2 linked regions of the Drosophila melanogaster genome follow. The protein of the gene in region 1 purifies or fractionates together with the protein of each later gene. This does not show direct contact. Each region holds a gene or a part of one and is shown in the gene's direction. Other genes may lie near its edges.

What was found. Proteins that work in one complex are often made in the same cells at the same time.
Region 2: the proteins of Rabex-5 (region 1) and Rbpn-5 purify together in Drosophila melanogaster (affinity purification with western blotting, with the first as the bait; one study listed by BioGRID). This does not show direct contact.

What each region holds. Positions count from the first base shown.
Region 1 is NT_037436.4:1,292,309-1,300,067, forward strand, and holds Rabex-5 (Rabaptin-5-associated exchange factor for Rab5), read left to right. Parts: upstream 1-3,604; 5' UTR 3,605-3,717; coding exon 3,718-3,871; intron 3,872-3,956; coding exon 3,957-4,160; intron 4,161-4,214; coding exon 4,215-4,527; intron 4,528-4,600; coding exon 4,601-6,020; 3' UTR 6,021-6,189; downstream 6,190-7,759. Other genes in the region: CG32333 (uncharacterized protein), read left to right, coding at 1-1,150, 1,210-1,421, 1,490-1,730, 1,785-1,977; scf (supercoiling factor), read left to right, coding at 6,418-6,892, 7,011-7,525.
Region 2 is NT_033778.4:21,086,505-21,092,813, reverse strand, and holds Rbpn-5 (Rabaptin-5), read left to right. Parts: upstream 1-1,809; 5' UTR 1,810-1,887; coding exon 1,888-1,942; intron 1,943-2,002; coding exon 2,003-2,544; intron 2,545-2,599; coding exon 2,600-3,384; intron 3,385-3,448; coding exon 3,449-3,584; intron 3,585-3,642; coding exon 3,643-3,759; intron 3,760-3,822; coding exon 3,823-4,131; 3' UTR 4,132-4,428; downstream 4,429-6,309. Other genes in the region: Treh (trehalase), read right to left, coding at 5,860-6,024, 6,089-6,309.

The sequences.
Region 1 (7,759 bases):
GAAAAAGGCAGGCAGGGACCTCCAGTCAAAGCAGGACTCCTGCCCGCCAACAGACTGAGGTACACAAGAAGATCTCCTCGGTGACGGTGAATATCAAACGGGAGCGCTCCCGTTACCAGCTCGATAGACTACGACATCTGCCCAACGGGGAGTCCACGGAGGTGGAGGAAATGGAACCACCTCCGAGGAGGAATCGCCACAAGACTGCCTGCGAGAAGTCCAAGTCGGATTTCGATATAACAAGTCTGAAGGACATGCAACCGTTGGATGCAGTGTGCTTGCCACCTCCCCAGCAGTTCCAGGATCAAGAGCAGGAGTTGGCGCTAGTCCTGGCCCCGCCGCCACCCGATGAGTTCCGTGATCCGCCACCGGAGCCAGCTCCAGCAGCACCCATAGCTCCAGTTCCTCCTCCTGCTGCTGCACTTCCCCCAACGGGAAAGACCAAGATTGTCGCTTGCCATCTGCCACCACCCCTAAAGGAACGCCAGCCCATTGGAGCCATTGATAATCCAGTGTATCACATCTACGAGTCACTGCGTCCCATCTCCACGCCGGCCATTTTCAGCAACAAGCCTGTGCTCAAGTCCCACAGCTTGGCGGAGTTGAAGAGGCCCCAAAACCTTCCTAATCACTCGATTAACCACCATTGCAAGACCCACGCCATAAATGCTAATGGTAATGTTCTGGAGAATGGTCTGGATCACGAACAGGACGAGATCAAGGAGAACTCCAATGGCCAGGTGAGGACGAACAAGCAGGGCCACGGTTCCAATACCAACTCCAAGCACAAGCGCAAGGGCCAATTGGCCTCCGCCGTGCAGGAGGCTCCTCCCAGCATCTCCCTGCTGGAGTTCGAGAAGTACCGCGAGGAGTTCCGCAAGCAGATCAAGTACCAGGGCAGCATATATTCCGACTACGTGCAGCTGGCCTCCGAACTGCCATACTTCTACATCAGCGACGAGTACCGCGCATTCTCGCCTAACGGCATGCATCTGGTCATCTGCGTCCACGGGCTGGATGGCAACTCAGCGGATCTGCGACTGGTGCGCACCTATCTGGAGCTGGGGTTGCCCGGTGTCAATCTGGAGTTCCTCATGTCGGAGAGAAACCAGGGAGACACCTTTTCGGACTTTGACACCATGACTGATCGGTAAGCAAAATACACTTCGAAGTCAATATAAATTTGATGTCATTGTTTAAATCATTTAGGCTGGTTACCGAGATACTCTACCATATCGATAGCTGCGCCCTTAATCCCGCTCGCATTTCCTTCGTCGCCCATTCGCTGGGAACGATAATTGTGCGGAGTGCTCTGGCTAGGCCACAAATGAGGCCTTTGCTCCCGCGACTGCACACCTTCCTCTCGCTCTCCGGACCCCACCTGGGAACACTCTATAATACGAGTGGGCTGGTGAACATGGGTGAGTCTATACCCATTCTTATACATTTAAGCGTGGTGATTAACCCAGGGTTGGGCCTCCTTTCGCAGGAATGTGGTTTATGCAGAAGTGGAAGAAGTCCGGATCACTGCTGCAGCTCTGCATGCGAGATACCACCGATATGCGGAACAGTTTCCTGTACCGGCTGAGCCAGAGGAGCACCCTGCACCATTTCAAGAACATCCTGCTCTGTGGTTCTAGCCAGGATCGCTATGTTCCGGCGCACTCGGCACGCTTGGAGCTTTGCAAGGCTGCCATGAGGGATAGCTCCTCGTTGGGTACCATTTACAGGTTCGATTGGAATGGCTCCTTGTTAAAATCGTGACTATAAAGATTCCTTTTCAGGGAAATGGTGCACAACATAATAGCTCCGATTTTGGCCAGGCCCGAACTGACTTTGGCCCGATTCGATGTCCACCATGCCCTGCCCCACACGGCCAACACTTTGATCGGTCGAGCGGCGCACATTGCTGTCCTGGACTCGGAGTTGTTTATTGAGAAGTTTATGCTGATCGCAGGACTGAAGTACTTCAGTTAACCAGGGCACTGAAGAAATGTCTGAAATGTCTTTAGAAGAGTCCTAGCGAATTAATCAAGTACTAAACACAGTCGGAAGATTCAACTACCAATTTGATAAAATTAAAAAAAAAAAAGATTATTTTCTTATAAGTATTTAATTACAGCATGTTTGTATAGTTTAAAAGTCATATGTTTCATTTTGTTTCTTCGTTTTGTCAAGAGTTTTGTTTGTATAACTGTATATATGGAAAGTTAAGACATATTCTTTTTGAAACTTACAATTTCTAACTTGCTGTACTTTCTGTTTTATACGCCGAACTTTTGAATACACAGGGTACTCATACATAATTCGAAGACAAAATAAGAACCACAGTCATCAGATCAGCCAAATAATTCCAATTGATCAGCGATTGGAACAAGGAATTTATTGAAGCAAATCGTTAGACTTGAATTTTTTACAAATGCAACTCTTTTGTAGCGAATTGAATACACTCAGATACGAACAAATCAAAAACCAAAGAATGTTTAATCAAAAACCTATAACCAAAACCAAAGTCAGCATAATGTTGAAACACACGCGTTAAAGATAATTACATTGTTAGCTGTAAGAGTTGAACGCATACAAAGCAAAAACAAAAGCCAAAGACATCATAAGTAGTGTTAAATTCCAGTTCAAAACTATACACGAGACTTTTTCGAAACGGTTGAATTGCAAATGGGAAGTGAACGAAAACAAGAACGATCATGTTAAGTATACGTAAACTATCGATAGTAGTTGAGCACGGCAAGGCAAGGTTGCATTTTGATGACAGTAGCGAAATAGTATTAGCAATTTTTAAGACTAATCAAAACACAAACAGAGACAAAATGGTTTTTTCCAAATCTTTTTACTGCTAGACGAGAGAACAAATTTAGAAGAACTAGAGATAAAGTAGAGGTAGTGTTGAACTAGTCGAGTTGTTAGTAGTTGAGTGCATTATTGGATCGTCAATTACGAGGAGAGCTGGACGATGCAAAGGTTTGTTTGCAGATTTAAACTTTTCATTGGGGAACAAGATCGGTAACGTAGCGTAGAGCAGTTAGGACAAAAAACTTTGCAAATTTATAGTCTAGTCTAAGCCATAACTCTGTGTTTTCTGAGCTTTTTCCAATTGCTGTTGTGAACTACTACCATTAGCGACCCTTCCAGAAATGCATTCTTTTTACGTGTATAACCGTCCTAAATGTTACTACTTTATCAACTTGCTATGTCGATATACGTGTGTAACTGGTTTTAAAAATGTTTGTGTGCATCTAAGAATTGAATGTGTGTTGAAATGTTCCCTAGGACACCACGATTTTACTACATGTATTCGATCTAATTGTGCAAATTTCCCTAAGTTGCAGTTTAAATATTTTCTTTACGAATAAAATATGCTAAAATCCAATTTTAGTGGAACATAACTGAATAGTGTTTTAATTGTATGTGGGTTTACAGGTCATATGCGAACTACGTTCTTTTTTATCAAAATTATATTCAAAAGAGGGAAATCCCCCTTGTACGAAGCGAACTAGTTCCATTCGATGGGCGGCTACTTAAAGCCGGCGAACCAGCTCATCTCTAACTTTCTGAGCGATGTCCCACCACTGGATAAAAGACCATCTGGCAACGCTGGCAGCAGTAGAATTATTTATCTCCACAATTCAGTCACGAAAACAATAAGCAACAAAGGGACTCCCACAGATAAGGGAGCTGTATTTTTATAGCCACACCTCCGAGATGTCAACGGCGGCGCGACCTCCGTCTTTGCGGCTGGGCCAGCAGGACCTCAAGTGCCGTTCAGGATGCGGGTTTTACGGAACCCCCCAAAACGAAGGATTGTGCTCGATGTGCTTCCGAGAAAAGTTTAATGATAAGCAGCGGAAGTTGAAGCGTAAGTTGAAGCGTAGGTCCCCAGACAATGCTTGCATATAACTCCAAAGCCGATGAGCGTTGAGTCATGAAGTGGTTCTTTACAGAGACGGGTGGCGAGACGGGTCCTGGATCCTCTTCCTCGGTCGCCACCTTGGATCGCCGATCGCCACAGCATGCGCACCTCCAGGGAAAAGTGGAGCAGCAGGTCAGGAAGCCGTCGGACAAGGAGCAGGACAACTTGGGAACCCTGCAAAAGAAAAAGTTTACCGCTGTGCTGCAAAAAACTCTGCAGGCGGGAGCCCAAAAAAGTAATATTGCATAGCCACACTGCCTTTAAATGCTTATACTTGGATATTCCTTAGTTACCCAACAGCGTGGTCATGTGCCGGATCCCACGGAGGGCCAGTTCCTACTGCAATTGCGGCAACTTCGCATTCCCGACGATGGCAAGCGGAAACTCAAGCTTGAAATCCAGCGTTTGGACAGCGACATCCGCAAGTATATGAACGGAAATGGCGGCAAAAACATCAACGAACTATCAGATTTGGTTCAAAACGCCTACACCAAAGTCTCAGACATTGTGCACAACGATCCCAGCTTCGAGATAGCCACCAACGAGGATCGCGATAGTGCCATTGACTTCTTTGAGAAAGTGGTGATGACGCAGAACCACAAGTGAGTCAAGCGGAACGTTGATATCAGAGGAGTACATATTTTTATCTGGGAAACTCTTTTTTTTTTTTTGCAGATTTCTCTTCAGTCCCTATTTCACTACCGATGAGGACAGTGACGTGAAGGTGCAGAAGCGGATACGCCAGCTGAGCTGGATTACGGCCAAGCATCTGGACTGCAGCATCGACGAGGTCAACTCGGAGGCCAGGGATCTGGTTTACAATGCTATATCCGAGCTGGTGGGCATAGATTCGTACTATTCGCCGCAGGAGAAGCTGCAGTGCACTTGGCGCTGCTGTAGGCACATCTTTGAGCTTCTGAAGCGGGCAACTGGAGGACCCGCCAGTGCGGATGACTTCCTACCCGCCCTAATATTCGTCGTGCTTAAGGCAAATCCAGTGCGACTGCACAGCAACATCAACTTCGTTACGCGCTTCACAAACGCTTCGCGGCTGATGAGCGGCGAGAGTGGCTACTACTTTACCAATCTGTGCTCCGCCATCGCCTTCATAGAGAATCTGAATGGCGAGAGTCTGGGCGTCAGCAGCGAGGAGTTCGAGGCTCTGATGTCCGGACAGCAGCCCTACAGCACGCCCTGGGAAAGTGCCCTGTTGGCCTGCGAGAGCCTTCACCTGATATCCGAGAACATGAAGCGAATGGAGATGCTGCAGAAAAGGAACGCCCTGATAAGCTCTGGAATAACTTCATTTGAAAAAGAGCTTATCGATTTCCAAAGAGAGGTGACGGAACGAGTAGACACCGTGATTGCCAAGGCCCCACTCAACCTGCTGCCCATCAAAACACCCGCTTTTCTGATTGGTCAAGCCAGGGCGCACCTTCTCAACGAAAGCGAGGCTGGTCATTATCAAGCGAATATGCTGCACGGCGGCTCATTGACCTCCCAGTCGCTGACAGCAGCCGGTGGGTTGGTAAAGCCCGCAGCGGCGTCTAAAGAATCTGGATTGTCCCTTAAGGATACCAGCATGAGTTCGATGGGCCGTCTGTCGCCACTTCAGCAGAACGTTCAGCCAGCCGATCACCTCTTCGCCTCTCCAATCTTTAACTACACCGCGTTTGATGCCGTCTCGCTCTTGGAGGAGCCTGTGCCCGATGCGAACACAGACGTACTCATGCTGGGCTCCGAGTTTCAAGGAGGCCTGACCAATATCAACTACGACTTCGACTTGTCGGATCAAAGTGGGGAAAACAGCACTGCGGACGAGTCAAAGCTGAATCTCGACGAATTCGACCCCTTGGCGCAGAAGGGCCTAGTTGCCAAGCCACCGCCGCCTCTGCCGGAGACCAGTCTGCTGGATAGCACAACGGATAGCCTTATAGATAGCGAAGTGCCCGGCACAGCTGTCCTGCTTCCATCCCCTCTGAAGCCCGAGGTGTCCAACTACCGGGGCTTCTCAAACTTCGATATTCCCAGCATCTCGTGCAACACGGGAGACTTTAGTTCTCTGGGACAGGACGGCGCGGATGCTCCCAAATAAACGTTTGTTCACTGGGTCACTGAATCCTGCAGCTGTGTGAATGTAAATAAGTTTAAGTGAAATATTGTAGTTAGCCCAACGCTTCAATTCAAATTTCTGCACATATTTATTTGTACCATATTTAACTAGCTTTACAGAAAGGACGTTTAATAAATGCAATCTAACACATACACAAGTTGTATTGTTTTTTACAATAAACGGTTAACTAAGTTTAATTTCTTTCCCAGGGGTAATTGCATGATTTTCAAAAGTCCCGCCAACTGGGCATCACTTATCCAATAATCTGGCAGCACTAGAAAAGTAACAAGAGAGATTGTTGTTTTCGAAATATCTCAATCACACACGATTTATTCTCAGTTTGCCTGCCGAACCGAACGGACGTGAGCGCTCACGAGAAATGGCTAGAACCCGAATTCAGATGCTGCTACTTGTTGTTGCGCTGACGGCGGTGATAAGTGGAGCAAGTGCCTCCAGCATACCGGAAGAGCTGCCCCACAATCCGCTCGAGCACGACCCCCTGCACCCCAGGCACTTCGACGGGGGCGAGCACAATGCCCAGTTTGACCACGAAGCCTTCTTGGGCCCGGACGAGTCCAAGAAGTTCGACAGCCTGACACCCGAGGAGAGCAGGCGGAGATTGGGCGTCATTGTGGACCGAATCGACGAGAACAAGGACGGGTCAGTCACATTGGCGGAGCTAAAGAACTGGATCGCCTACACCCAGAGGCGCTACATCGAAGAAGACGTGGGTCGCGTGTGGAAGCAGCACAATCCGGACAACAATGAGACCATAAGCTGGGATTCCTACATGCAGACTGTCTACGGCTTCATGGATGATCTGAGCCCCGACGAGAAGGAACAGGAGGAAAATGGTATGTAGCCCAAATCGTCATTGTAAGCAGAGGCATCAATTTGATAGGGAAATCACTGTTTTGATGGGCGGGAAACATCACATTAATCTAATCAAATTGTATTTGTTTTTTCGAACAGGAGTCAGCTACAAGAGCCTGCTGAAACGCGATCGGTACCGCTGGTCGGTGGCCGACCAGGACTTGGATGACAATCTCACCAAGGATGAGTTTACCGCCTTCCTGCACCCCGAGGACCATCCCAGCATGAAGGGTGTGGTTCTGCGCGAGACCATTACCGATCTGGACAAGGACCACGATGGCAAGATCTCGGTGGACGAGTACATTGGCGACATGTACCGATCGACGGGCGCGGAAGACGAGGAGCCCGAGTGGGTGGCTAACGAAAGGGAGGCGTTCTCCACACATCGCGACCTGGACAAAGATGGTTATTTGAACGAGGAGGAAGTGAAGCAGTGGATTGCGCCCCATGACTTCGATCATTCGGAGGCGGAGGCCAAGCACCTGCTGTTCGAGGCCGATGCGGACCACGATGATAAGTTGACAAAGGAGGAAATACTAGACAAGTACGACGTTTTCGTCGGCTCCCAGGCCACCGATTTCGGCGAGGCCTTGGCCCGCCACGATGAGTTCTAGAGTGTCTAGATACCCAGAATCCCTGAGATTAAGATTGATCCTATGAATCTCCCACTTCGCATGCCAAATAACTTGTAATCTTGTCTAGCCCTTAAGACCTTAAGAAAGTGCATTATAAACCGACTCGAATGATGGGCCTTCCTTTTGTATGTGGCACCACGACCAATTGATTTGAGGTGATTTGTTTAATTGAAAGGCGTCCACGTCAGCTCTTGGAGCATCAATGGCCACGTC
Region 2 (6,309 bases), on another chromosome or scaffold:
TACATGCCGAAGGTCATCTTCTCGCCGAAGCTCAAGCCCGACTTTGTGATATCGAGGAAGCCCTCGTAGCCCTTGGTCATAAAGTTGCCGTATCCGAAGGGATTGGCCATTGGTGGCCAGTAGGGTCCCTGTGTTCCATTGCCCGTGAAGTTCGTTTGGGCCGTATAGGGTGGCTGGGCACTGGGTGGCATCGATGCCTGGCTCATTGCCGATCCGCTGGTCAGATTGTGGATGTTGATCCTGGGCGGTCGATTTGCCCGCCGTGAAGGCGGCGGTGTGCTGGGAATGGGTGTTATGCTCTGGGTTTGCGACATGGTCGGTTTTTTTTTTGGTATATCCGGGAATCTATATGGATTCGCTTTGCAATTTTCTAATTGATATCCGTAGGAACTCAAAACATTGGGCACTTTATGGTCATTATTCAAGTTCCGTTCACATACATATATCGCGGCGGTTGTACTTATATATTTGTATTATTTTTAAGTTTATAAGTAGAAATGCCGTCGCGATTCCAAGGCGCCGCGTATTTATTTCTTCGCGTACTTTTTTTTCCCGCTTCCGACCGCCTCGTTCCTGAATCCAATGCGAACTGAACAGACGCCAAATATTTTGGCCAACATCGCTGCTGTTGTCGCTGGGCATAATGCTGTAGTATTTGTATCGGCCACGAATCTCCGGCTGCCGACTATGACGACATCGAAAGTCATGAGCTCACAAGCCTGCCAACAAGTCCAAGACCTAGAAGACCCAACGGATCTCAGCGTACACTGACGAAAAAAATGGTCTATGTAATGCCTAATGCTATGATTTAATTAATATTATTGGCTATAAGGTGGTTAACAAATGTTTAAAGTTAACATTAGTTACAGCGTACAATTATTTTTTACCTATCGACTAAAATGTTTTCCAATTTCTGGTAGTGTACAGCCATGATAATTTTATAATTAGTCAAGTTTTCGGCTTCCTCAGCCGATGCCGAAATTCTGAAATCGAGTTTTGTTCTGGTTAACGCGTAGTTTTGTTATCTCAAATAGTTTGCTATATTGTTATATTTAAATATGTTTTCTCATTAGCTAGGCATTATTGAAGTATTCATTTTCCTCTCATAATTTATCAGCTCTTAGCGTTTTCTCGCGTTTCTGGCGCTTAATAATTTGCATAAAATTAAAAGAACTGACGGTATTAGTCATTCATGATCGGCAGTCATTTACCTTTTCATAGAATTGTGTCTAATATATTCTGCCGTTGTCATTTGGCTTACACACAAATGTTGAAACACTTTCTAGGAAATGCTTAAGAAAATCCTAAATAATTAAGAACGATTAAGATGCAATTATAAACATTATACAAATTTAAATTATATGGTATTGTTTATTTATATTCCTTACCCATTTGTTTTCTTTTTCTATTTATAGTTCCTGATGGCTGATGATAACAAAAAATTCGAGGAATATCTAGATTTAGATTTTAGACTAAGATATAAAAGGACAAAGGAGTGATTTTAAAGGATTCCGACTTTTAACTTAATAAAACGGGTTCTTAAAAAGGACACATTAAAAGGACATAAAATAAGAATACATTTGCAAATTGGCGAAGGGAAATTATTAAAACTATTTTACCAAGTATCTGTAAGTAAATATTTTAAACTTTCTATACTTCTATAGAAAACTTAATCCCAAAAGATGTTTATCAAGCTCAATAAAGTTAGATTTTGAAAACCTTTTTTAACGGCACTGCCAAGCAATACTAAAGTATTAACTATCGGTATTATTCAAATATGGTAACACCAAGAGCAGTGTTGAAAATCGCTCAAATGTATATGTTCTAATTGGTGCGCTCACATATGTACATATAAACTAATAAATTGGCCATCACACAATATAGAAAATGGAAGAAAACGAGACCCGGTCAGAGGCCAGGGAACCCACGGACCTGCCCAATGGTAAGGCAGCACCACAGGAAGCCTGAACAGCCGATAACTAACCCATAACTCCAACGGCAGGTGAGGATGACGCGACCAGCCAGCACAAACTCAGTCACCTGCAGAACGAGATGCGCAAAATGCAGAACGAGTTCAACACGCAGCGGGCGAAGATGCGGGAGCTGTACATCCAGAAGGAGGCGGAGGTCAGCCAGAGCCAGCAGGAGCGACGGCAGCTGCAGGCGGAGCTGGACGAGCTGAAGACACACCTAATGGTGGCGGACCTTAAGTCGCAGAACGAGCTGCAGCTGAGGGACCTCAAGGCGCAGGAGGAGATCTCCTCGCTGCAGCAGCTGGTGCAGGACACTATCGAGGAGACCGCGCACTACAAAGGCGAGGTGGAACGGCTCAGGCTGGAGCTGGGCAAGTACCAGCAGATTCAACAGCAGACGATGGCTCAACAACCGCAGGCCGAGTCATCTGGCGGTATAGCGCCGCAGGTGCTCAATCAGGTCAAGAAGACACTAGGCTCTGTGCGTAAACTGGGCACCGACTCCCTGAACAGCAGCTTTCAGCAGGACGAGGACACCCGGGCATCGAGCAAGGGCAATGGCAAGCAATACGTATGTTTTCGGGACTAATCTTTCAACTATCAAATTAACTGAGCTTATATTGCAGGCTCCTGAGGAGGCGGAGATGATGCACTCAATTGTCGAGCAGCTTCAGGAGGAGATGAAGGCACTAAAAGTGAAGCTGCGCGAACAGGACGAGCAACTGCAGGCCAAGTCGGCGTCCGATGAATCCGCCCTGCACAAGTCCACGTCCATGGACGTCGCCGAGAGCGCCTGCGAGTCGTGCAGCTTGGCAGAAAAGAAGACCGAAGAGCTGGGTGCCCATATAAACAAACAGCAGAAACAGGTGGATCTGCTGCAAAAGCAGCTGGTGGAATCCCGGGAGACACTGGTTAAGGAGGCGGCATTGCGCAAGGATCTGGAGGACCAGTGGCAAGAAAAGCGGGAGGCCCACAAAAGCGAAGTACAAAGCCTGCGTGACCAGGCCAAAACCAACGAGCAGCGACTGCTGGACATGCAGCAAAAGTTTCTCGAGACCAAGGACGAGGTTATTAAGCAGATCCAGCGCGTCTCCGACGACCGAGAGCGGGTCAACAAGCAACTGGAGACGTTGCAGGCGGACAACGACTTTCTGTCCGGTCGCTATCTGGCCACGTCCGAGGAGATCGACAACCAATATATCAATCTGCCCAACACGGTCGTCGAGCTCCAGGAGCTGATACTGCGACAGCAAAGCGAGCTAATCCAAGCACGCGTCAGCAGCGAATACGAGCGACAGAAGTGCACCAGCACTGAAGATGAGATTCAGATCTTGCGGGCCCAGCTGGAGGAGAGCAACAATGAAAGGCGGGCCTACAAGCGCAAAATGCAACTAGATATTAAGTCACTGCAGTAAGTTACAACCTCTTGTCTATGGTGGTGTTCACTTTGGCCCACGTTTTAAATGAATTTTCAGGGATCGGGTGACGGAACACTTGGTCACGGTACAAGCGTACGAGACTACCAAAACCCAACTGGAGCGCAAAGAGGCTGAGCTGAACAAGCAGCTCTCCGAGTGTCGCGTGGAGATCATTGAGCTGCAAGAGGCCAATGTAAGCTATCATATTTTGTTGTCACACTTGATTCTTCGCTAACCAGATCACATTACAGGAAAAGTACGCCAAAACAAATGCAGACTACAAGACGAAGATAAAAACACTACAGGAGGAACTCTCCACCATGGAGACTGTTCAAAAGGACTTTGTCAAACTATCTCAAACGCTTCAGGTGAGTGAGATATAAAAATATATGGTTTATTCACTTAATTAATTACATTGTGTTGTGCCACAGATGTCGCTGGAGGAGCTGCGGCATGCCGACACGGAGGTGCGTTGGCAGGACGATGACGATGTGAACAACTGTCCCACGTGCAATGCCTACTTCACGGTCATGGTGCGCAAGATCCATTGCCGGCACTGCGGCCACATCTACTGCGATAAGTGTCTAACGAAAACGGTGCCATCTGGACCACGGAAGCGAGTGGCCCGAGTCTGTGATATCTGTCACACGCTGCTCACGCCAAACACCGCACCCTACTTCAGTCAGGGACAGCCGCCGCAGCAGCAGCAAGGCCAGCAGCAGCAGCAGCAGTCCAACTAGGCGTTTGGGCTCCAAGCCCAAGTGATTGTGTATTATGTGTGAAGTACGATTACGATTAGTTGGTATCTCCTTGAACTCTATTGCTCTATTTCTGTGCTCCGATACTACGATTACGATCCGAGGTCAAACCTTTCCAATGCCCATTTCCATTTGCCAATGTCTATTTCCGATTTTGTTGTTCCATTATTTTGGCCCTATACATAACGTAAGCGATGAGTTGTCTATGTTAGCTTTCGTCGTAGGTAAGTTTTCGTAACTGAATTTAACTCAAAGCAAATATACAAATTAAAAACAATTAAATTTTTGTTGTTTGTCGCCGCACATCTCTACTTGAACCAACTTTGCCTGCAATAGAGTTGATATCAAAGTAATGAATTGAGTTGTTTAATTCAAAGGCGAGCCATGCAACATAAAGTTTGTGTTCTTGTTTATTTAAAAATGCTAAGAAAAGAGTTTGTAAATTATTGTTAACAATTGTATTTGTGTCTTCATTTGGTTGCGAGGAGCTAGGATTGGTATAGGTATTTGCTAAATATTAAAACGTAATAACAATTTCGGGCATGCCCATATAAATTCAGTATATACAACTCTCACTTCAACTACCAAATAATGATAAACTAATACTGCAATCTCCGCACTCAACGAAAAACGTTAGCAACTACAGACTTCACAACACACGCACAAACACGGAGGGGGGAATCACACTACTTGAGTAGCAATTACGTCTTGTTTTGGCACACATTGTCTGCGGAAGAGATAGAAAAATGATTACCCAATTAGCCCGTCGCCGGGAGATAGCTAGATTTCAATTCGATTTCGCTTACCTCACCATAGAACACGACCTGCTATCAGAGCAACTATAGTGACAGCTGCCACGCCCACGATGCCCATCATACGATTACCTGGATTGGAAGAGTAGAAGACACAGATCAGTAAGAATTGATGGCAGTGTGTAAATCAAAGGCGTAGGAAACTGCTGCCCCAAATTTCATTTCATATGTACACTTTTAGAAGGGTTAGTTAGGGTTATTTGAGCAGTTTCCTGGAAGCTCGTTTTTATGCATGCAAGTCAAGCCAGGATTGAATATGTGGTTAGCTTTCTATAGCCGCCATTTAGTCTATAAGGGTACATATACCATGGATCAGTCTGTTTTAGGTGTTATGGGGTAGTGTGCTCTGGATCTGGTGCTTGGTGGTGGTTACACTAAACATTGCCTTGACATTCACAAACACAAATCAACCACATAGAATGATCCAATTGGACACTTACTCGTGAATCCTCAACTTGATAGATAGCGTTCTTTGCGTTCTTATTTCTTGAATTTGGACAAGTCACACGAGTGTGCAAACGTGGACTGGACGTGGTTTACTACATGGACAACAGACAGTACACAGATGCTCGACGGATGGCGGACTTCAGATCTTGATTCCTGGCGGTGCTGTAACTGTGGTGCTGTGGTTCGTGGTGCTTGGCTCGAGATGTCGATGGTTCGCGGTACAGATATTGGTTATAGACAGCGGCTTTTAAAGGTATAAAGATTGCGCAGAGCGAGAGAGACAGCATTTTCTTAGCCTAAGGATGAGCAGTTGATGAGCGCTTCTGATTGGAGCCTTAATAATATACAAATATCTAAATACAATTTTTTGAATAAGCTTTGGCTTCGAGCCTGTGATGATGCTGACAATGATGTCTGATGGATTGCGTTCTGGCCTGGCTACAGATTCTTTCTACTGCCGCTTTTCACCTGCTAGGCAGCCACAACCGGATCCAATGGAAATGTCGCGCCCGTGCTTGCTCAGCCACTCGATGATCACACCGTTGGACCAACCGAATCCAGTCTGTACCTCGTACTCGCCACCGCCGCCTCCAACTCCGAACTCATCGGCGTTGTACTATTGGGATTTAGTCAATCATTATTACTATGATTAATATGATCAAAGTAAACTCTACACTCACCTTCTCGTACATGTGCCTGTCCTTGCTAAACGCCGCAAAGTTTGTCTTCACCCACCTGGTGGCCCACTTCAGTGACATATTCTTGGCCTCGGGAGTGTTCAGGTTGTTTAGGCCCTCGACCAGGATGTACTGCATCGGTGCCCACACATTGGGGGCATCCCACTGTTCTCCGGTGTAGCTCAGCGTGTTGGGAACTCCGCCAGGGAAGCTGTCCAGCTTGT